Caenorhabditis elegans: one gene and its partners. The protein of the gene in region 1 purifies or fractionates together with the protein of each later gene. This does not show direct contact. Each region holds a gene or a part of one and is shown on either strand. Other genes may lie near its edges.

Region 1 (5,828 bases):
AGAAAGGAAAAAAAGCAACACAAAAAATAGAAGAGGAATGCAAGGCAGTTGCCGTCAACTTGACGGGCGGGAGGGAAAATGCAAGAACGACAGGGCAGGAGGGTCTTGAAATGGCACTTTGTGTATATATTAGAAACGGGGAATTCTGGAGGAGGAGAAGCACAAAATGAGCACAGGAAGGAAGGAGAGAACAGAGCAAGACGAGTCTTTCAAAGGAGAAGAGGGCCTAATTTCAATGAGCTGCGCTTGGTCAAAGACTTCTCGAAAATCAATGCAGACAGAGGGAAAGAGAGAGAGAGAGAGAGCGAGTGAAGAACAGGTGCTAGGCTTCATATCTAGAGCTGATAGTGTGAACTTATGTTTTCAGTGATGCATTTGAAAAATTCATACACAATTTCAGTTTTTTTTGAGTCTCTAAATTATTTTTTCCAGATTCTAACCAATATTTTAAATAAAACTGAGTTTTTCCACAATAATAATTAAAACACTACAGACCTCTACAGAAAACTACAATCAAGTGATCATAATAGGATCATGCTCCCCCACAAATTAGATGAACACAGAGCACAAAAATAAGAAAAACAGCTATCCAGACAGGCAGACATATCGGTCACACGAAGGGACAAAGAAGGGAAGAAAAGTATTCGTGAGCACAAACAACAACCCATCACTTTGTTTGTGCAAAATAAAGACCTAGTGAAACTGCTTCCACGAAAGCGACTGCCGTCTTGAATTGCGAAGGACCCACCCGCGGCGGTTCTCATTGTTTTTTGGAGCAACTAGAATTCGAAATGAACGGAACCGAAGATGAAAATAATAATTTGAAAAGATCGATGAGAAAGAGGGTTTTCCATCGCGGCTTTGAGACAGACAGCGATCATTGAAAATGGATATTTGTAGTGCAAACTCCTTGCGCGCCAACACAACAGCTAGCGTGGTGAACAAATCGGAGGAGTGTGTGAAATGTTTTGGAAATATTCAGAGACATATTGATGTTTATAAATTTGATTATTTCTCGAGCGCTAGAGAAAATCTTGATTTCAGAAATGATGCTGGTTGACACAAACGCCAAATGGCAACAGCTGAACTCTACTGGAAAAAAGCCTAGCTATGACGCAAATGGTTTTCAAGAATATCCAGGTACGCTTCGAGAGATATCACCATGGCATGCTCATATTATAGGTTAAGAACAAAGACGGCCTTTCTGAATATGACATGAGGAAGAGGAGGAGAAAATTTTATATACACTCAATAAATCAGATTTATACTAATTTAGTCCGTTCAAACTAAACATTTTTATTCTAGACAGCTTCACATCAGCAGATATAAGAAGTAAAAAATTTGAAACAATTTAAATAGGTATAATCAGAATCAATGTCTTGACTCACTATTACGCTAACATAGGAATTAAATATTACTCCGACGCAAAATTTCCGTAATTTTGCGTTAAAAATACGGTATCCGGTCTCGGCACGAAATATGTTGTTAAATACAAGAATGTGCGCGCCTTTAAAGAGTACCGTTCTTTTAGCGTAAGAAACGCAAGATTTCGAGTATGGACAATATCAAAACTGGATGACAAATTAAAGAATGATCGCTTTCGTTTTCGAAGAACAGATTTTTAAACTTTTTTCACAACTTTAATACTATTTGACAAAGATAGAATCGAAAATACGCAACACGGAAGAATATAACAAATGACACAAAAACAGAACCGTCGAACTGATTACTGTGTGATTGATTGGTTTAGTGCGAACAAGTGTTTGTCCAAATGTTCCAACCGGATCGCCGATTTGTCTCTTTCCTCTCACCACGAAATAGAAAAACAAACATTAGGTTTATCAAAACTGACCAATGTCTTTGATCTTATCAAGCTACTACTCTCAATCTACCACCTTCGGAGAAAAGTGAACATAGGAAATGGAAGAAGAGGGAGCATGGACATCATAACTAGTAGAGAAAAAAGCGAAACAAAAACCACAAACTCTGTGCGATGGGCAAAACCAACGGAGAAGTGAGTTGAGAGAAGGCAGGGAGAGCGTGTCAGGGAGAGAGTATGAGGAAAACATGCCGCCTGGAGAGTCGCAGAGAGTGCTGCGTCTTTTCTGCGTCTATCCAAAAGACGATAGTATTTTCCAGCCAGCTAGCATGACTGCCACTTTTATTTCCTCTTCTCTTTTTTCTACGTAGTCACCCATATACACTCAAATCTTAAAATTTAAATTTTCAGCACTGAAAATGTTCGAACGGCAAACTGGAAATGGGAATGGCAACAAAATGAATATGAGGATAGTGATTCTCGATGAATTGTTGAGCAGAGAAATGGATGGAAGCAACGATGGATCGTCAGCAAGAGTTAGTTCTTTTTAAAAATTGTGAACAGTGTTGGATGATGCATTATGACAATCAACTGATTTAATTTAAACATTGCCCTGCAAAAAGTGTGAATTTTAATCGAGTTTTTTGTGGAGGATGAAAAAGAGTTAAATTTTGCTAAAAAAGCAACAAAAAACTCACACCGGAAAAAGAAATTGGGAAAATTTCAGGTAAATTCATTGAAGCACGTGATAAAAAGGAACAAAATGGATATGGCAGACGATGCACCATCTTCGTTGGATCTAATGAGACGGGTATGGACTGTTAATGTTTCAAGTAATTAAAATGAAAATTATTCAGATTTTCCAAGCGGAAATATCGAGAGAAATCCATCAGATTATGGAGAGGCATACTAGAACAACGCTATTACCAGCTATCGAAAATCTCCGCAAAAATGGGCATGTTGTTGACGAATCAGTTTTGAATGGTTTGTACTGTAACATTTTGGAGGCTGCAAAGAAGCCATATCAAAAAGATCCGGAGCCTATGCCACCGATTTGTACAAATGGAAATGGGTTCCTTGATATCAACAGTCAAGAACATGAGAATAATTTAAAGGTAATTCAAATCTCAAATCGAATAAAGAATGAAAAACTATATTTTTCAATTCTAGAAAATATCTGGAAAATTTTCGCCGACTGTTTTCAAAAAAGGACCTTTCAAAACTATTTTAATAGATACAACGGAAGTAATTAAAGCAAATTTTGGCGACGATTTCAAAACTTTAATCACTACGGCGTGGTTAAAAAATACAAAACAAAGTATATCAAAAATGCTGATATTTTCAGAGAGGATACGAATCGGATAGCTCAGACGTGTCTGGAGTCAGCCACTGCTCCGATGCTAAAAGACGACGAGGTCGTCCACGTAAAGATGAAGAAGCATATCGACTAGAAATGACGCCACCGACAATGAACGAAGTCATTCGGTGGAATCCGGACAGAATCGATGTGAACACCCGTTTTATAACGGCGACAAAAATTGCGCAAGTGATGGGAATGCCCCCGTCGATTCTGTTCAACAAGTATCCACGAATGTTTAGAGTAAGTAACTGGAAATCGGCAATTTTCAAAAACTGTTCTACCGTTTTAGTATTCCTGCGATGAAGATGACAAAAATATTCTACATGAGCAAAATCTTCTCATCAGGGCACCCGGTAGATGCTATCTTCTGGTTGCAGAAGATGCTCGTCAGCTAGTTCCCTCCACTTACTTGTAAGTTTTTTCTACAAATTTAAAAGAGAAAACCAAAGAAAAATATAAAGGAAATGATTATCCTACTCCAACAAAACTCTCCGAAAAATAATTATTGCTCTAAATCGCATCGCGCTTCGCCGAGCAGCACTTCCCTCACCTACCGATCAAAAATAACAGATTACAACGAAACAGGTAGAAAAGAAGTAGAAAATATCTAGAAATGAGAGAAAAATTGGTTGATAATAAAAAAAAGTCCGTAAAAAGATAGCAATTAAAATTAGAGCGATTGTCCACGAGAAAATTGTGAGAATATTCAGAGAGTTCTATAAATTTTTGAAAATTTAGCATTTTTATTTCAGCCAAGATGTCCTCAACGTCTCATTCCTCATCTCCGAGCCACTGCTATCAAAAATTCGCCAAAAAGCGGCATCAACCTACGAGAAGTACAAAGTCTTTCTGCCCACACAACCGAATAATTATCTCTGAAATGTTTCTAGTCGTTTTTGTATTTTAAAGCACATTCCCAATTCTGAATACTTTTCTGAAATCCATGAAATGGAACTTGAATCCAGTTTTCACTAAAACGACCTCATACACTTTCTCTCGTATCCTCAAAATATCTATGACATTATCATTAGCTTCGCTAGTTTCATTTCTTTCAAATATTATGCATTCTTAAATTCCGATACCCGCGTGCAAAAGTGCTCTATTGAGCAACTTTGGGATCATATGTACACACCAATGCCCTTTTCCCAAATCTTTTCCTGTCCTTTTCTCTAAAAACAATAAATCCATGCCTATTCCAGTATGACCCCTTTGAAGCAGATATAATCGCACAAACATATACACATAGCTCGGATAAATGTAGAAAAAGAAGAAAAGAAGTATAAGTAGATAGATGCTTTCCGGCAATTATCCACCGCACCGTAGTCTTCACCAACTGAGACTGCGTCGTTAGGAGACGCCGACATGATTCAGAAGCAGAATTTGGAAGAAAAACGACGATGATATTGAGGCTGGCACACATACACCGGAATATTCGACATGCCACCACATCTAGATTCCAAGGCAATCTCTACCTCTTCCCATTCTTTCGGTTTTTTTGTTCTGACAAGAAAAGTGGATAGCTACGGGCTCAATGAGCTGATTTTATTTTTAAATATCTTAAAACTATACTAGATTCATGTGTTTTCAGGTCCATATTCCAAATTAGTCGAAAAGCTGATCCCGCTACGGTTTACTCGAATCTCAACAATTTTTAGCCATGCAGTTGGTGCCTACAGGTATTTCGTTTTTTGCCCGACTCTTATTTATCTGTAGACTTTCGTTATAAAACAAAGCTATCTTTCTGAAATTGTTATTACGTAGACGCCTCAAGATGAGAATCTTCGCCAAATCTTACGCACATGGGTCTCGCCACGCAAACAAAGAATATGATACAATAGCGGTCTGCAAATTGACATGAGTTACAGTAATTCGTTCTCCGCGTGGCGAGACCCGCGGCTAAAGTTCTCATCCTTAGAGACCAACGTAACACTCTGGGTATAGTATAACTTACCATTAAAATTTTTTTTTAAGTTTTATAATTCTTCACAGGGTTTAACATTAGATTAAAAATTAGTCGGTGACTTCTAACTAAAGTTAAAATCAAATCTTCAGACGATCCCGACGAAAAAATCGGTCGGACGTCTAATGGCATGCAAAATGCAACTCTTCCTATTGATGGACCAGTTAATACAGAACCCAAAGATCCAGCAAGAGAACAGTGGTCTGGAAAGGTAAGATCCATCTTGCCTGTAATTCTACATATGAACCCATCTTTTCAGCTGGACTTCCTTCTCTCAGTTGTCGGGTTTGCTGTAGATTTGGGAAATATATGGCGATTTCCATATCTTTGCTTCAAAAATGGAGGAGGAGTATTTCTGATTCCTTATTCTATAATGGTCCTGTTGACAGGAGTTCCACTATTCTACATGGAGTTGTGCCTCGGCCAGTATTATAGAAAAGGAGCAATCACAACTTGGGGAAGAATATGTCCGTTGTTCAAAGGAATCGGATATTGTGTTATTTTAACCGCATTCTATGTGGATTTCTTTTATAATGTGATCCTTGCCTGGGGGCTTCATTATTTATATACTTCATTCAGGTGAGGACAAAATATGCTTATTTTAGGTATTATAAAGACATAGTAAAACCAAATAATTTTTAAATCTTATAAATTTTTACCGCCATAATTTGGAAAACTATTGCAATTAA
Region 2 (5,750 bases), on another chromosome or scaffold:
ACTCGTGAACATCGAGTTGGACACGAACGAGACAATGAAAATGCACTGTATACTCTGAAGTTCACCCTGAGTGCACTCTGGAATCTAACAGACGAATGCCCGGCTACATGCAAAGCATTTTTGGATGCTGGAGGTGTTCAGATTGCGTTCAGAATTCTCAAAGCTTTTGATTATCATGGAAATGTGCAGACGAAGGTTCTTGGCATCCTCAACAACTTGGCCGAAGTGGAAGAATTGCATTTGGGACAGCTTTGCAAAAACGAGTATATTTCTGTTCTTATGTATGTTTTTTAATTCGTTGAATTCAATTTAACCAATTTTTTTCAGTTCTTGTCTTGACGGATCATTCAACGAAGTAGATTCGAAAGGACGGTATCGTGAAGTTGAACGATCTTATTTCGCTGCTGGAATTCTCGCTAATCTTCTGACCAACACTGATGGTTGGGAGAGTGAAAATCAACGTGACGAAGCTTGCGAAAAGCTCTTGGAGCTTATTGAGCAGTATCCCACACTTCCATCGGCAATGGTCTCCTACAAATCTTTCATTCCATTCAGTCGTATTGTTAGAGAGTCAAATTCGAATGGGGCCATCATGTGGTGTTTGTGGGGAGTTCATCACGTTCTTCAACATCGCGAGAAGAACAAAGCGCCTACGTATGAGAAAGGGTACGTTTTTGATTTACTTTTTTCTTAATTTCAAAAATCATTTCAAAACATTTTCAGATACATCGAAATGTTTATGGATTCCGGGCTTTCTCCAATCGTCGAGGATATGTCCCATGGACACTCGAAACACATTCACAATCTGGATATTCGTGTGGTTCATCTCGCACGAGAAATCATTGACATTGTCTCATGCCATTCACTATCTTCCAGCCCAGTTCGATTAGTCCGTCGAGTTTAGTCATTTTTTTGTTTATTTTTTTTATTATTATTTTTGTTTAGCTTTCCCATTTTCAAAGTCCCCATCTACAGGTATATCAAATTGAAACAAGTTATATTTATACGGGTTGATATTTTTATCCGTTTCACCCATAGCAATTAGATTGCATTAAAAACTAAATTAGATGTTTGGTTTCACTATTTTTCACTTCTCCCTGTAATATGTTGAACTGTGAATGTGATTACTTCTGTGGATATTTCATCGGTTGTTTCCATTTCTTTTTCTGTACCCATCCCTACTCACAAATTTGCTCGTCCCACTTTCTTTCGCGGGTATTTTTTCGGGAGTACCATTTCCTCCTTTATGTTTGAAATAGTTGTATATTTTCAGATTCTATTGTGAATGAAAACGTTGAAGCTCTGAAATTTGGTTTATTACTTGAGAAATTTAGAGATCATGCAACAGAAAACAATATAAAATCGGAAATACTGAAAACCAACACAGAAAAGATTTTTGACAAATTCATCACAGTGTTTAATCATTAATTACATGGAAAGTTACGGAATTCCGGGAATATTGAGATCTTTTCGTCTGTCGCGATCTTCATATTTTGCTTCTTCAATAACATCCGAGTGACTTCTCGGTGGAGCCAATCCAGACCTGTCATATCCCCAGTACTGACCAATCCGACGAGGATCTTGACCCGGTGGAAATGATGGAGGTTTTGAGTCTTCTTCTACAAAGCATTCTTCTTCCATTTTCTCTGATACTTTTCCAACTTCATATTCAATTGAAGATTTTGATGATTTTTGTAGTCGTTCATTTTCTTCGATTTGCTCAATTTCGTCGAGCCTGATTCCAACAATATTTTGCATTTGAACTGATGGTGCTCCACGAATCATTCTCAAACATGCCAGCGTTTCTTTTTCAATAGAAGCCAAATATGCCGCAGAATTAGCATCATTCATTTTTGGAACCAAATTTGGGCGAAGAAGTCGTGGAGTGAAATAGTGCGAGTATAATGATGTTCCAGGGATTTCATCGTCCATTCGAAGACCTAAAATGACTCCAGTTTCAAGGGCCCAGCATCTCGCAACATTTCTAAGTGTATATCCACCACCACCAAGGACCATCAATGGTTTTCCAAGACTTTTCACGTATTTGACTGCGCGTGCATGTGCATTGAATCTTAATATGTTTAGATTTAATTAAAATATTTAGATTGCAAAAAAGTAATTTTAAAACTTACGACAAAGCAAATTGACCAAGTCTGTCTTCACACAATGAATCGGAACCACATTGAAGAACAATTGCCTCAGGATTAAAATTTTCTTCAACGCCACTTATAACACTCTCGAATAATTTTAAGTAAGGTTCATCTCGAATTGCAGCCATCAGGGGAACATTAATCGCAAAATACTTTCCGGGACCGACACCTTTGTCCATAATACTTCCAGATCCTGGGAAATATTGACCAAAACGATGAAATGACACAGTCATAACTCGATCAGAATTATTGAATGCTTCCTGAACACCATCACCATGATGAATGTCAATGTCGATATACAATACTCGTTTGTGATATTTCAATAACTCCAAAATTCCCAGCACAATGTCGTTTACATAGCAAAATCCTGAAGCTTCTGATTTCTTGGCGTGATGAAGTCCTCCAGGCCAATTAATCACAATATCATTCATTTTATGATTCAATCGTCGAGCACCTTCAACAGATCCACCAGCATACAAAGTACAGTAATCCCAAAGTCCAGCGAAAATTGGACAATCCTCTCCAATGTTAAACTGCCTCAAAACGTCATCAGGCATTGTAAGACCGAGCTTCGGTGTCACTGTTTGCAGAAAGTTGACGTAATCTTCAGTGTGAAATACAGAAATATCTGCAGCATCTAACTTTGGTGATTCAACAACTGTCATATATTTTGGCATTTCATAGGAAACTACTAAATCGTTGCACACCACAAGCCGTTGAGGTTTCATTGGATGAAGTTGGCCTGAAAAGTAAAACATTTTGCCTATTTCAGATTCAAATAAATACCATAATGAAAATGTCCGACGTCTTTATGATAATAATATGCAACATTTCTTTTTTTAACATCAGCTCCATCTGGCTCGATTATCTCATCATTATCATCGAACAGTGTATCTAGTTTGAACTTGTCTGATGACATATTTTTGCCAATTTTCTGAACAACTTTTGTTATTTCACTGTCGAATGTTGATCGTTGCATAAAGTATGATATAAAGACAAAAAACTTAGATGCTGATTATTTAATCAATGAGTATGAATAGTTCATTATATTGAAAAGAGTTTGAAAGTTGCGTTTGTAGTTCAGTAATACATGGGAAAAGAAATGTAGACTGATTTGACAAAAAAAAACGAATTTCAAGATGAAAAACGTACATAGCCACTTGTTTGGTGCAGAATACGAAATTAGAGTTTTGAACGACAAGTGATAAATGATGGGGAAAAGGGAGGGTGATGTGGAAGATCTTTTCAGTTTCTTGAAGGTAAAGACAACCGCGTTGGAATATATTAAATACAAAAAGGTTATGAATTGGTGAGACGGAATAAAAAACGGAGTTGGAGATAGGATGGAGAGAGAGAGGAAAGGAACGACCCGTTTATGTTCCGATTTTCACCATTAAATTTTGAAGAGAATGTAGATTAAAGTTGTAAATTGATTGGAAATTTTTGGAATTTGGAACTATTTTCTGAAAATAATCAGCAGTTCTGTTTATGGTACAAAGTATTGAAAAATATAAGACCGGTGGCATTGCCCGCTACGATCGTTTGGATGAATGTAGACACAAAAAAGTGAAACAAATAAGAGGAGAAGGGCACAAGGATGAAAAACAATGATAACAAGAAGAAAACGATTATGTTTGAAAAGTAGTTAGATTCCAGCTCCAGCACGAACTGGAGTAGTCTGCACGAGAGGAGATGGCTGGCTGGGAATGTGTTGTTGAATTGGCTGATGACGGTGGGGGCTAGATCCAGCTGTGAATTGCGGACTTGTTGGTGTCTGAAATCAGAATTGTACATTTGTGAAATACGAAATCATTTTTTTTACCTTTTCGTTAAGTGACGAGAAATTGAGCATTCTATTAATGTGAACTGTCGGTTTATTGCTAACAGAGGTCGACTCTTTCATCGGAGCTGATGCTACAGAAGAAGTTGGTGAGTCAGGTACTGTTGGCAATTGTGAAGAGCTTCCAGCCATTGATGATAGAGATGCTGATGACGGAACCTCCGAAAGCATTTTTTGTTGTTCTTCTTCTGCAGCAGGAGCTTGATGTAGTTCAGAAAGAAGTTGTGAGAGAGCATGTGCACTTTCCAATCGAGATAGAGCCAGCCAGCAAATGTGTGATTCGTGCCGTCGGAGTTTTCTGAAAAATTTGGAGTTCATAAATAAATATAGATTGAAAGAAATTCTCACTGTCGTCCTTCAGCTGAATATCTTGCAAGATTTCTCAAAATAAGACAGGATGTTAGACGAATACTCTTTGTCACTGGTCCTTCTGCTTCATCCGTGAGTTCTCGAGACAAGAAATTGAAAGCGTGTCTTCGGATGGCATCGAACGCGGCATTTTTCGCGTAACCAGGATGATTATTGATATCACGGGAGATAACTTCAGCACGCGGTGCTCCACGAACTGGAGCAATTCCACCACCTTCCTTTCTTTTTTGTGAAGCCGCTTTTAATTGAGCTTCATTACAGTGCGAATCCTGGATATGAGTAATCAGTGACCAACGATTACGAGGTGTTGGATCAGCACATCCGTTCCAGCGACACAGTAATCTTAGCTCCTCTGCGACGTGCTCTTCCGACAAATGTTTGAGCACGTGTGATGGAGAAGCATAATAAATGGAACAACAATCCCAATCACACATATAATCGGTAGGATTCGAAGATGGAGGAACACATTTTCGTTTTTCTGATTCTTGGGCATCATCCACAACCTCCGTTTCAACCACTTCTTTGTTTTTTTCTTCATTTGTTTCTTCTTCTACCTTTTCTGTTTCTTTCTCGATTTCCTTCTCGATATCATTTCCATTGCTAACCACGTTCATTCTCTCTAAATCTCCGTTGCAGGCAGCTGCTACAGCAACAATATGAGCAGCTCTGCTTGCCATTGACTCTTTTTTCACTTTCGAGTTACCATTGCAGATGATTCCGTTGATTTTCTCCGATTCCAATTTAACATTATCCGTGTCATTCTGAAAAATTGAAATTTCAAGGCAATTATAGATGGAGAATGGAAAGTTTGCCCCAAAAATACGGTACCTGGTATATGTTCCTTCAATGATTACTGTAATTTCAAATTTTTGTTGTTGCGGAATTTTCTTCTACTTTTCCAAGTTTCAAAGCCATGAAAAATCAACGAAAATTCCGCAGCAACAAAACTTTGAAATTACAGTAATCTTTAAAAGCGCACACCTTTTCGCCTTTAACATAAATGTGTCGCGTCGAGACCAGGTATCTTATTTTTTGCGTAAAATCTCGCGTATGGGTAATAAATCAACTTTGAAAACAAAATTTAAACAAAAATATGGACAGAAAATTATTAAATTAAGAAGAACAAAACAATGACACACCACAAACTGCTCGCGAATCTCGATCGACACTTCGCTTCCTTCAATCTGATTAGCGTAATTTTCATCGAACAGCTTTGAAGCTTGGATTGGTTCTTGGCACACTTCCACGGTTCCATTGGTGATAGATTTCTAAAGGAAACAGAGAAGCATATAAAATTAGAAGATTGTTTCATGCGAAAACCCCATGCAATTCGAGAATTTAGAAAATAAAAATTACCTTCTCTGGGGTCACTATTTTTGAATTCAGCTCCA
Region 3 (6,484 bases), on another chromosome or scaffold:
TTAGAAAATAGGTAATCAAGTCTTTCACTCAATTTCGTTGGGCGACAGAGATCAAAAACAACAAAAAAAAGTTGTATTTTTTCAAAAATTGTGTTTCTCTCTGTGTGTTGTTGACACACAGCCGGGGCAGGCAGGCAGGTGATTAAAAAAAAGTAAATTGGCAAAATGGGAGGGCGCACATATTTTTAATGCAAAACGTCCAAAAATAGTGATGACGACGAGGGGTGGTGGGGCCTTGAAATAAAAAAAAATGAAGTAAAACTTTTTTTTTTGGGCATAAAAAAATGAAACTGGCTTGTAAAAAATGAGAAAAACGGCCCGACGACGGGAGGAAAATCCTATTAGCGTCGGTCGTCCCTATCGGCATGGGCTCACCCGTTTTTTGTGCAATGCACAATTGCACAAGAGCACGTACACTTGTGCATAAGGAAGAGTTCACCAGGAAGAAAATACCATTGAGAAAATTGATAAGAAGAACTATCGAATTTTTTTCTGATCAATTGTTCAATTTTCAGAAATTTTGTGTGCCAAAATTTCGAAAAATTGAATTTTTGCGAATTTCGACTCTGAAAAATCGTAAATCGATCAATTTTCCAGGTGAGACGTGGTCTGGGAAGCTGGAATTTTTTGACACCACGAGCACGTGAAAAACCGAGGAACAAATCGGTATGGTCCAGACTTTCCCATAACGGTTTGACCTACAAAAATGCGGGATTTTTTGGCCTAAAAAATGTGACGTCCGCATGTTCTTAGCCATGCAAAATAAGTTGAAAAGTCTGCGTCCAATTTCCCGCGCATTCTGGTAGATCAACGTAGATCAAACCGACATGGGACACACCTGGCACCACGTGATGGTCGAGTTTTCACTGTTCGGAAATCTTTGAGCTATGGGAAAAAGTAACAATTTATAGGAAGATTGGGTCAAATCTCATCCTTTTTCTGCCAAAATATCGGAAAAATTGAATTTCTGCGATCTTTAACAGGAAAAAAATGGCAATTTAGATGTATTTTCTATTCAGAAAGCTCAAATTTTTCTAGACTTTTCACCGGGAAGCAGGTGTAAACCGAAAAGCAAAAGAAATTGTTCGGTTATTCTATAAACTCCGTGAAGTGGCCGAGATTTTTCGGCTCGTGGCCGCCGCCTTTTTCTGCCAAAATTTCGAATTTTTGCGAATTTTGGCATTTTTAGTAATGGCCGAGTTTTCACTGTTTCGAAAGCTTTGAGCTGTGGGGAACAACATGACGTCAGTTCGGCCGATAGGGATTGATAAGAGAATTACTTTTTTTTTTTCATAAAAAAATATATCAATTTTCAGATCAATCGATCAATTTGCAGTTATTTTTTTGTCGGAAAATAGAAAAATCTACGTGGATTTAGTAGCAAACACGCTCCAATGAGAAAAAATGCCTAACTTTCTCAGTGGGGCGCGTATGCGGTGAAGGCGAAATTCGAATTTTCAGATGAGAATCGATTTTCTTCCGTGATTCTGGGCGAAATTTCGAGGAAAAATCCATTATTAGACTATTGAAATTGTCAATTTTAAAAACTGAAAAGCCATCGGAAATCCAAGCTTTCGCCTAAAAATTTCAGATTTTCGGTAATCCTGATGTCTTGCTCAAATGTCGATGATTTTTCTAATTTTAGAGCTGAACTTCTGAAATTTCTACCGTAATCTGGGATTTAGCCCCCACTAGGTCGCATTTTAAGGCGAAAAAATGCCAATCAAATTCCAATTCTCCAAGTTTTCGGTCCGCCAAAAACTCACATAAATCCTGGGTGGCTGCTGCTTCATCATCTTTTCATACTCAGACACTTCCACACATTTCAGCACGGAATATAGGACTAGAAATACGGAAAACTCTTCACCACCAGGTCTGCTATCACCAGGCTCAATTTGTTGTGATAAGAGGAATTTCGTCAAGTCGACATGAACATGATCATTACGCGACCCCCATGGAGCCATCAAACAACAGTTGGTGTCGTATTGCAGGCGTCCTGTGGAGAGAGCCGAGCAGCAGAATTGGCGGAGAGCTCCGGAGCGGGAAATTGGAAAAATATGTGTTGAAAAACTCGGAACAACCAGCAGAATAGTCGGAAGAGTCTAGGCAATAATTCGGAAGAATTTTCCATTTGGAGCACCAAAAACCCCGGAAAAACCGCAGAAAATCCAGAAAATCGACAATCGGCTCCTCCGTAAATCCACACAAAGTGACAATGATCTCTGGTCACGAAAATCTAGAAGTTCAGACAAAATCTAGCAAAAATCCGAGGATTTCAACCGGAAATGTGTAAAAAATGTCAAAGTTGATACCATTTCTGTGCACAAAAAACCTGAAAATTTTGAAAATCTGGCTGAAATTGGTGAAAATCACCAAAAGTTTCGCCCGTAAGTCGACATAGGCATCAGTAAATCTACACAGATTTTTGAAATTTTCAATTTAGAAAACTGCATTTATGGTATAAACTCAAATCAAATGTTGAGTTCGCCAAATTGAAAAAAAACTCTCGTAAATCGACACAGGCCCCCGTAAATATACACGGAGCTGCGGAAAACACCAAATAATCCTGGAAAGATTTTGCAAAATTGAAGGATTTCATTCCAAAACTAGTCGAATTTCAGTAAAATTTCGGAAAATGTTATCCCGTAAATCGACACTGAACCCCTGTAAATCGACATTAAAGCCTCGTAAATCGACATTACAGCCCTCGTAAATCGACACTGAACTCCCGTAAATCGACATTACAGTCTCGTAAATCGACACCGAACCCCCGTAAATCGACATTACAGCCCTCGTAAATCGACACTGAACTCCCGTAAATCGACATTACAGTCTCGTAAATCGACACTGAACCCCCGTAAATCGACATTACAGTCTCGTAAATCGACACTGAACCCCCGTAAATCGACATTACAGTCTCGTAAATCGACACTGAACCCCCGTAAATCCACATTACAGTCTTGTAAATCGACACTGAACCCCCGTAAATCGACATTACAGTCTCGTAAATCGACACTGAACCCCCGTAAATCCACATAGGTCTTTACAAAGTCCTGAGCACATTATGACCGAATAACTCGGGATTTTTAGGCCAAATTTATCAAAATTATATCATTTTTGCCCATTTTCCCGCATATTTTCCCCCAAAATCCCCGTAAATCTACACAAAGGTAAATTTTAATCATTTTTCAGCGATTTTTCCTGCAAAAAAACCTCCCACAAAACTCTAACCTGATTCCCATTCGGCTGATCAGACGGCTTACGAAGTTTGGAGAAGAATCCACGGATTCCACCTCCACCACCACCTGGAGCACCACCACCGGCTCCACCACTGGCTCCTCCGCCACCACCACCACCGCCGCTCGACGGACGGCTCCCAGAGCTCATTTCCAGTTGATTTTCCGCTGGTCGCTTTATTGTTTTATCGATTAATTTTCGGATTGTGAGTGGATGTGGTGGATGGCGGGCGTCGGAGGTATCACCTTTTGATCTGTAAAAGTATTTATTTATTGATTTTTTTGAGCGGAGCGGGGAGGAAAAAACGGAAAAAAATGCGGAAAAGTGAGAGAGAAATCGAGAGGAAATTCAAATTTTCAGCGAAAAAATGCAGTTTTTTCGATAAATTTCCGAAAATGTTCACACGAAATTTGAGTTTTTGCGAAAAAAACATCATTTTTGAAGAAAATTCGGCAATTTTTGCTCAAATTTTCAGAAAAAAAAGGAATTTTCTGCGCATGTTTACGTGGAATTTTTTAAAAAATTCGGTGCATTTTTTTTTGAGAAAACCACTAATTTTCAGGGAATTATATCAGAAAAATCTAAGACAACTCAATTTTCAGCGGAAAAAATGTCGTTTTTCTCTATATTTTTACACGAAATTCGAGAATTTTTGTGATTTTTCCGAACAAATATTTTCCACAAAATGCAAAAAATTCGTCATTTTTTAACCACCAAATTTACAGGAAAAAATTGGAAAAACGGGGCATTTTTTGAGTAAACCACAAATTTTCCGGGAATTTTATGAAAAAAAATCTAAGAAAAGCCAATTTTCAGGAGAAACCTCGTGCAAAATTTCAAGAAAAACCGACTTTCACCGAAAAAGCAAATTTTTCACAAGAAATTCGATTTTTAAATCAAAATCCTGACAAAATATACAAAATTGCCGATTTTTCAGCTTAATCCAAGTGGATTGTGGTTTTTCACGCAATTTTTCAGAAAAAAAACGCGAAATTCTCAGATTTTGCGGGTAGTTTTCACAGAAAAACCGACTTTTAGAGGAGAAAATTTGAAAAAAAATGTAAAAAAAAGAAAAAATCCAATCGAAATCCATCCGTCTCCGCCACATCTTCATCAGCATCTCCCTGCAAAATTAAATAATAAATAAACAGAATTTTCTACGATAAAAATTCTTTAAAAAAAAAAGAAAAATTGCAATTTCACGACGAAGACACTCACCCGCATTTTGACGACCCGCGTATTTCAAAGAATCGCCGAGTCGAATTGGAGCATGTCGCCGGCTCTCAACGCATGTTTCAGGTCTGCAAATTGGCACAGGAAATTGCATTGAATTCGAAGAAAAGAAAAGAGGGGAGTGTTGTAGAAACTCACATGAAAGACGCTTTTTTCGTCCGGGGCCGAGCAGTTCGACGAGCTTTTGCGCGAAAATCTTCACATTTTGCTCGCCGCTATTGTATTTCTTGATAATTTCGCGAAAATGTGGAACTTCTTCGGGGCGGAGACAAGAGAGAACCTGAAAAAAAAGGAAAAAATGATGAGAAAATTGATAAATTTCGATTTAAATTTCATTAAACTCGCGTGTGACGAAAGTACGCAAACACGGATGGAGAAAAATGCGGATCGAGCGCAGAATCTTACGACATGTGTGAAAATAATATATTTTTAAACTCTCATTTTCAGGCAAAAACTCCATGAATTCCAACAATAAAACTGAATTTTAGGAGAAAAATTGAGAAATAAAATTAAAATAAAATTAAATATTTTGCAACAGAAAAATTATGTGAAAATTGATTTTTACCGGTTTTTGACGGCAAAAGTCGAATATTTCAAATTTTCAGCGAAAAAAAGCCAAAAAGGGAGATTTTTAGAACACAATTTTTGTAAAAAATGCTATAAAACCACAAGCTTGTAGGGAAACATGAAAATGTTCGGTTTTTTTTTGCGGAATCTTCAGCAAAAGAAATCCCAGAATTTTTCGAATTTTCTTAGTTTGGACTTTAAAAAATCTGACTTAACATAACTTCAGTTTTCTGTTTGATAATTCACATTTCGAAAAAAAAATTTCTTTTCTTCTTTAAAATTCATCATTTCTATACGAAATGTTTTTCAAAAAAAAAAAAAGAAAAGAAACTCCCATTAATTTTGAATGCGGTGCTCTTGAAAATGTCAGATTTTTTTTGGATTTCAAGGAGAAAAAACTAAAAATAAACCAAGCAATTTCCCAATAAATAAACTTTTTAGAATGACGTCAGAGGGCAAAAATTGTAAAATTTTTAAGGGATTTTGGGGCATTTTGTTGGGCAAATCAGTTTAAAATGGTAGAATTTTATTATCAGAAATATGATGCATCGACGTTTTGGGGAACTTTAGAACAATTGCACGTGGTGCCAGGCTGTCCCATTAATTTTGTAGATCAAAACGTATTACGTTTTGATCTACAAAAAATGCGGGAATTTTTTCACCGAAAAATTGTGACGTCGGCACCTTCTTATCCATACGAAATCAGTTGAGAACTCTGCCGCATTTTTTGTAGATCAACGTAGATCAAGCCGAAATGAGACACTCTGACACCACGTGGTAATTGGGGCAAAAAATCAAGTTTTTTTCACCATCGATGCACCATGTTTTCGATTTTCTGCGTGGCCGAGTTTCTGAAAACTAGGCCACGTTCACAAGAAAGCTAGGCAGCTCGGAACCCATAAAACATGGCGGATCAACCCAAAAATTTGAAAAAAAAAACCCGAATTTTTACACAGTAAACATGCAGTTTCTCTGGGGAAAGTTTACAAAAAAAACGGGGTTTGTGGGGTCTTATCCTTTTCCTTATCACCTTATCACTGTCCGCCGTCGCCGCCACAAAAACAAGTGATAACTTCATTTTCGAGCGGGGGGGGGGCAAAGGCGAAATGTTGCAGTAGTGCCTGCCCTCAGGCCAAAAATGAAAGAAGAGAGAGAGAGAAGAAGCAGCTAGTGGGAAGAAAAGTAGAGAGAGAGAGAGAAAGAATGTCCTCTCTCCACACTAATCTTCGTTTTTCGCTCCAATTTTTCACCCTCTCTCTGTCTGTTTATGAGCAAGTGCTAGTGCGCACACACAAATTTTCACGCTTTTTCGAGAAAATGAGCGAAATGAGGAGGAGACCGAGCGGAATGAGAAGGAACCGAAGGTGATGAGTAATGAGGTCGAAATTAGTTGCTTGAAGGGAGAGGAGGCCGTGGAGAAAGAATGAGAGAAAACTCGGCCACGCAC

The links.
Region 2: the proteins of saeg-2 (region 1) and hda-2 purify together in Caenorhabditis elegans (affinity purification with western blotting, with the first as the bait; one study listed by BioGRID). This does not show direct contact.
Region 3: the proteins of saeg-2 (region 1) and egl-4 purify together in Caenorhabditis elegans (affinity purification with western blotting, with the first as the bait; one study listed by BioGRID). This does not show direct contact.

The regions. Positions count from the first base shown.
Region 1 is NC_003281.10:9,238,139-9,243,966, forward strand, and holds saeg-2 (Suppressor of activated egl-4 protein 2), read left to right. Parts: upstream 1-2,224; 5' UTR 2,225-2,283; coding exon 2,284-2,355; intron 2,356-2,546; coding exon 2,547-2,630; intron 2,631-2,676; coding exon 2,677-2,934; intron 2,935-3,164; coding exon 3,165-3,419; intron 3,420-3,468; coding exon 3,469-3,590; exon of another isoform or gene 3,591-3,655; intron 3,656-3,869; exon of another isoform or gene 3,870-3,931; coding exon 3,932-4,058; 3' UTR 4,059-4,376; downstream 4,377-5,828. Other genes in the region: dat-1 (Sodium-dependent dopamine transporter), read left to right, coding at 4,837-4,855, 5,232-5,350, 5,399-5,718. UniProt on the Caenorhabditis elegans protein: As a likely component of a histone deacetylase complex, together with saeg-1 and hda-2, functions downstream of the cAMP-dependent kinase egl-4 to regulate the expression of genes required for egg-laying and foraging.
Region 2 is NC_003280.10:8,019,478-8,025,227, forward strand, and holds hda-2 (Putative histone deacetylase 2), read right to left. Parts: upstream 3,085-5,750; 5' UTR 3,070-3,084; coding exon 2,937-3,069; intron 2,893-2,936; coding exon 2,133-2,892; intron 2,072-2,132; coding exon 1,441-2,071; 3' UTR 1,303-1,440; downstream 1-1,302. Other genes in the region: Early embryogenesis protein zyg-11, read left to right, coding at 1-281, 328-666, 724-904; SWI/SNF chromatin remodeling complex subunit swsn-7, read right to left, coding at 3,796-3,924, 3,973-4,288, 4,339-5,120, 5,499-5,627, 5,716-5,750. UniProt on the Caenorhabditis elegans protein: Probably responsible for the deacetylation of lysine residues on the N-terminal part of the core histones (H2A, H2B, H3 and H4).
Region 3 is NC_003282.8:1,844,974-1,851,457, reverse strand, and holds the start of egl-4 (cGMP-dependent protein kinase), read right to left. Parts: upstream 3,388-6,484; coding exon 3,232-3,387; intron 1,794-3,231; coding exon of another isoform or gene 1,767-1,793; intron 1-1,766. Other genes in the region: ccm-2 (CCM (Cerebral Cavernous Malformation) gene homolog), read right to left, coding at 4,480-4,538, 4,609-4,750. UniProt on the Caenorhabditis elegans protein: Promotes chemoreceptor gene expression in response to increased cGMP levels by antagonizing the gene repression functions of the class II HDAC hda-4 and the mef-2 transcription factor.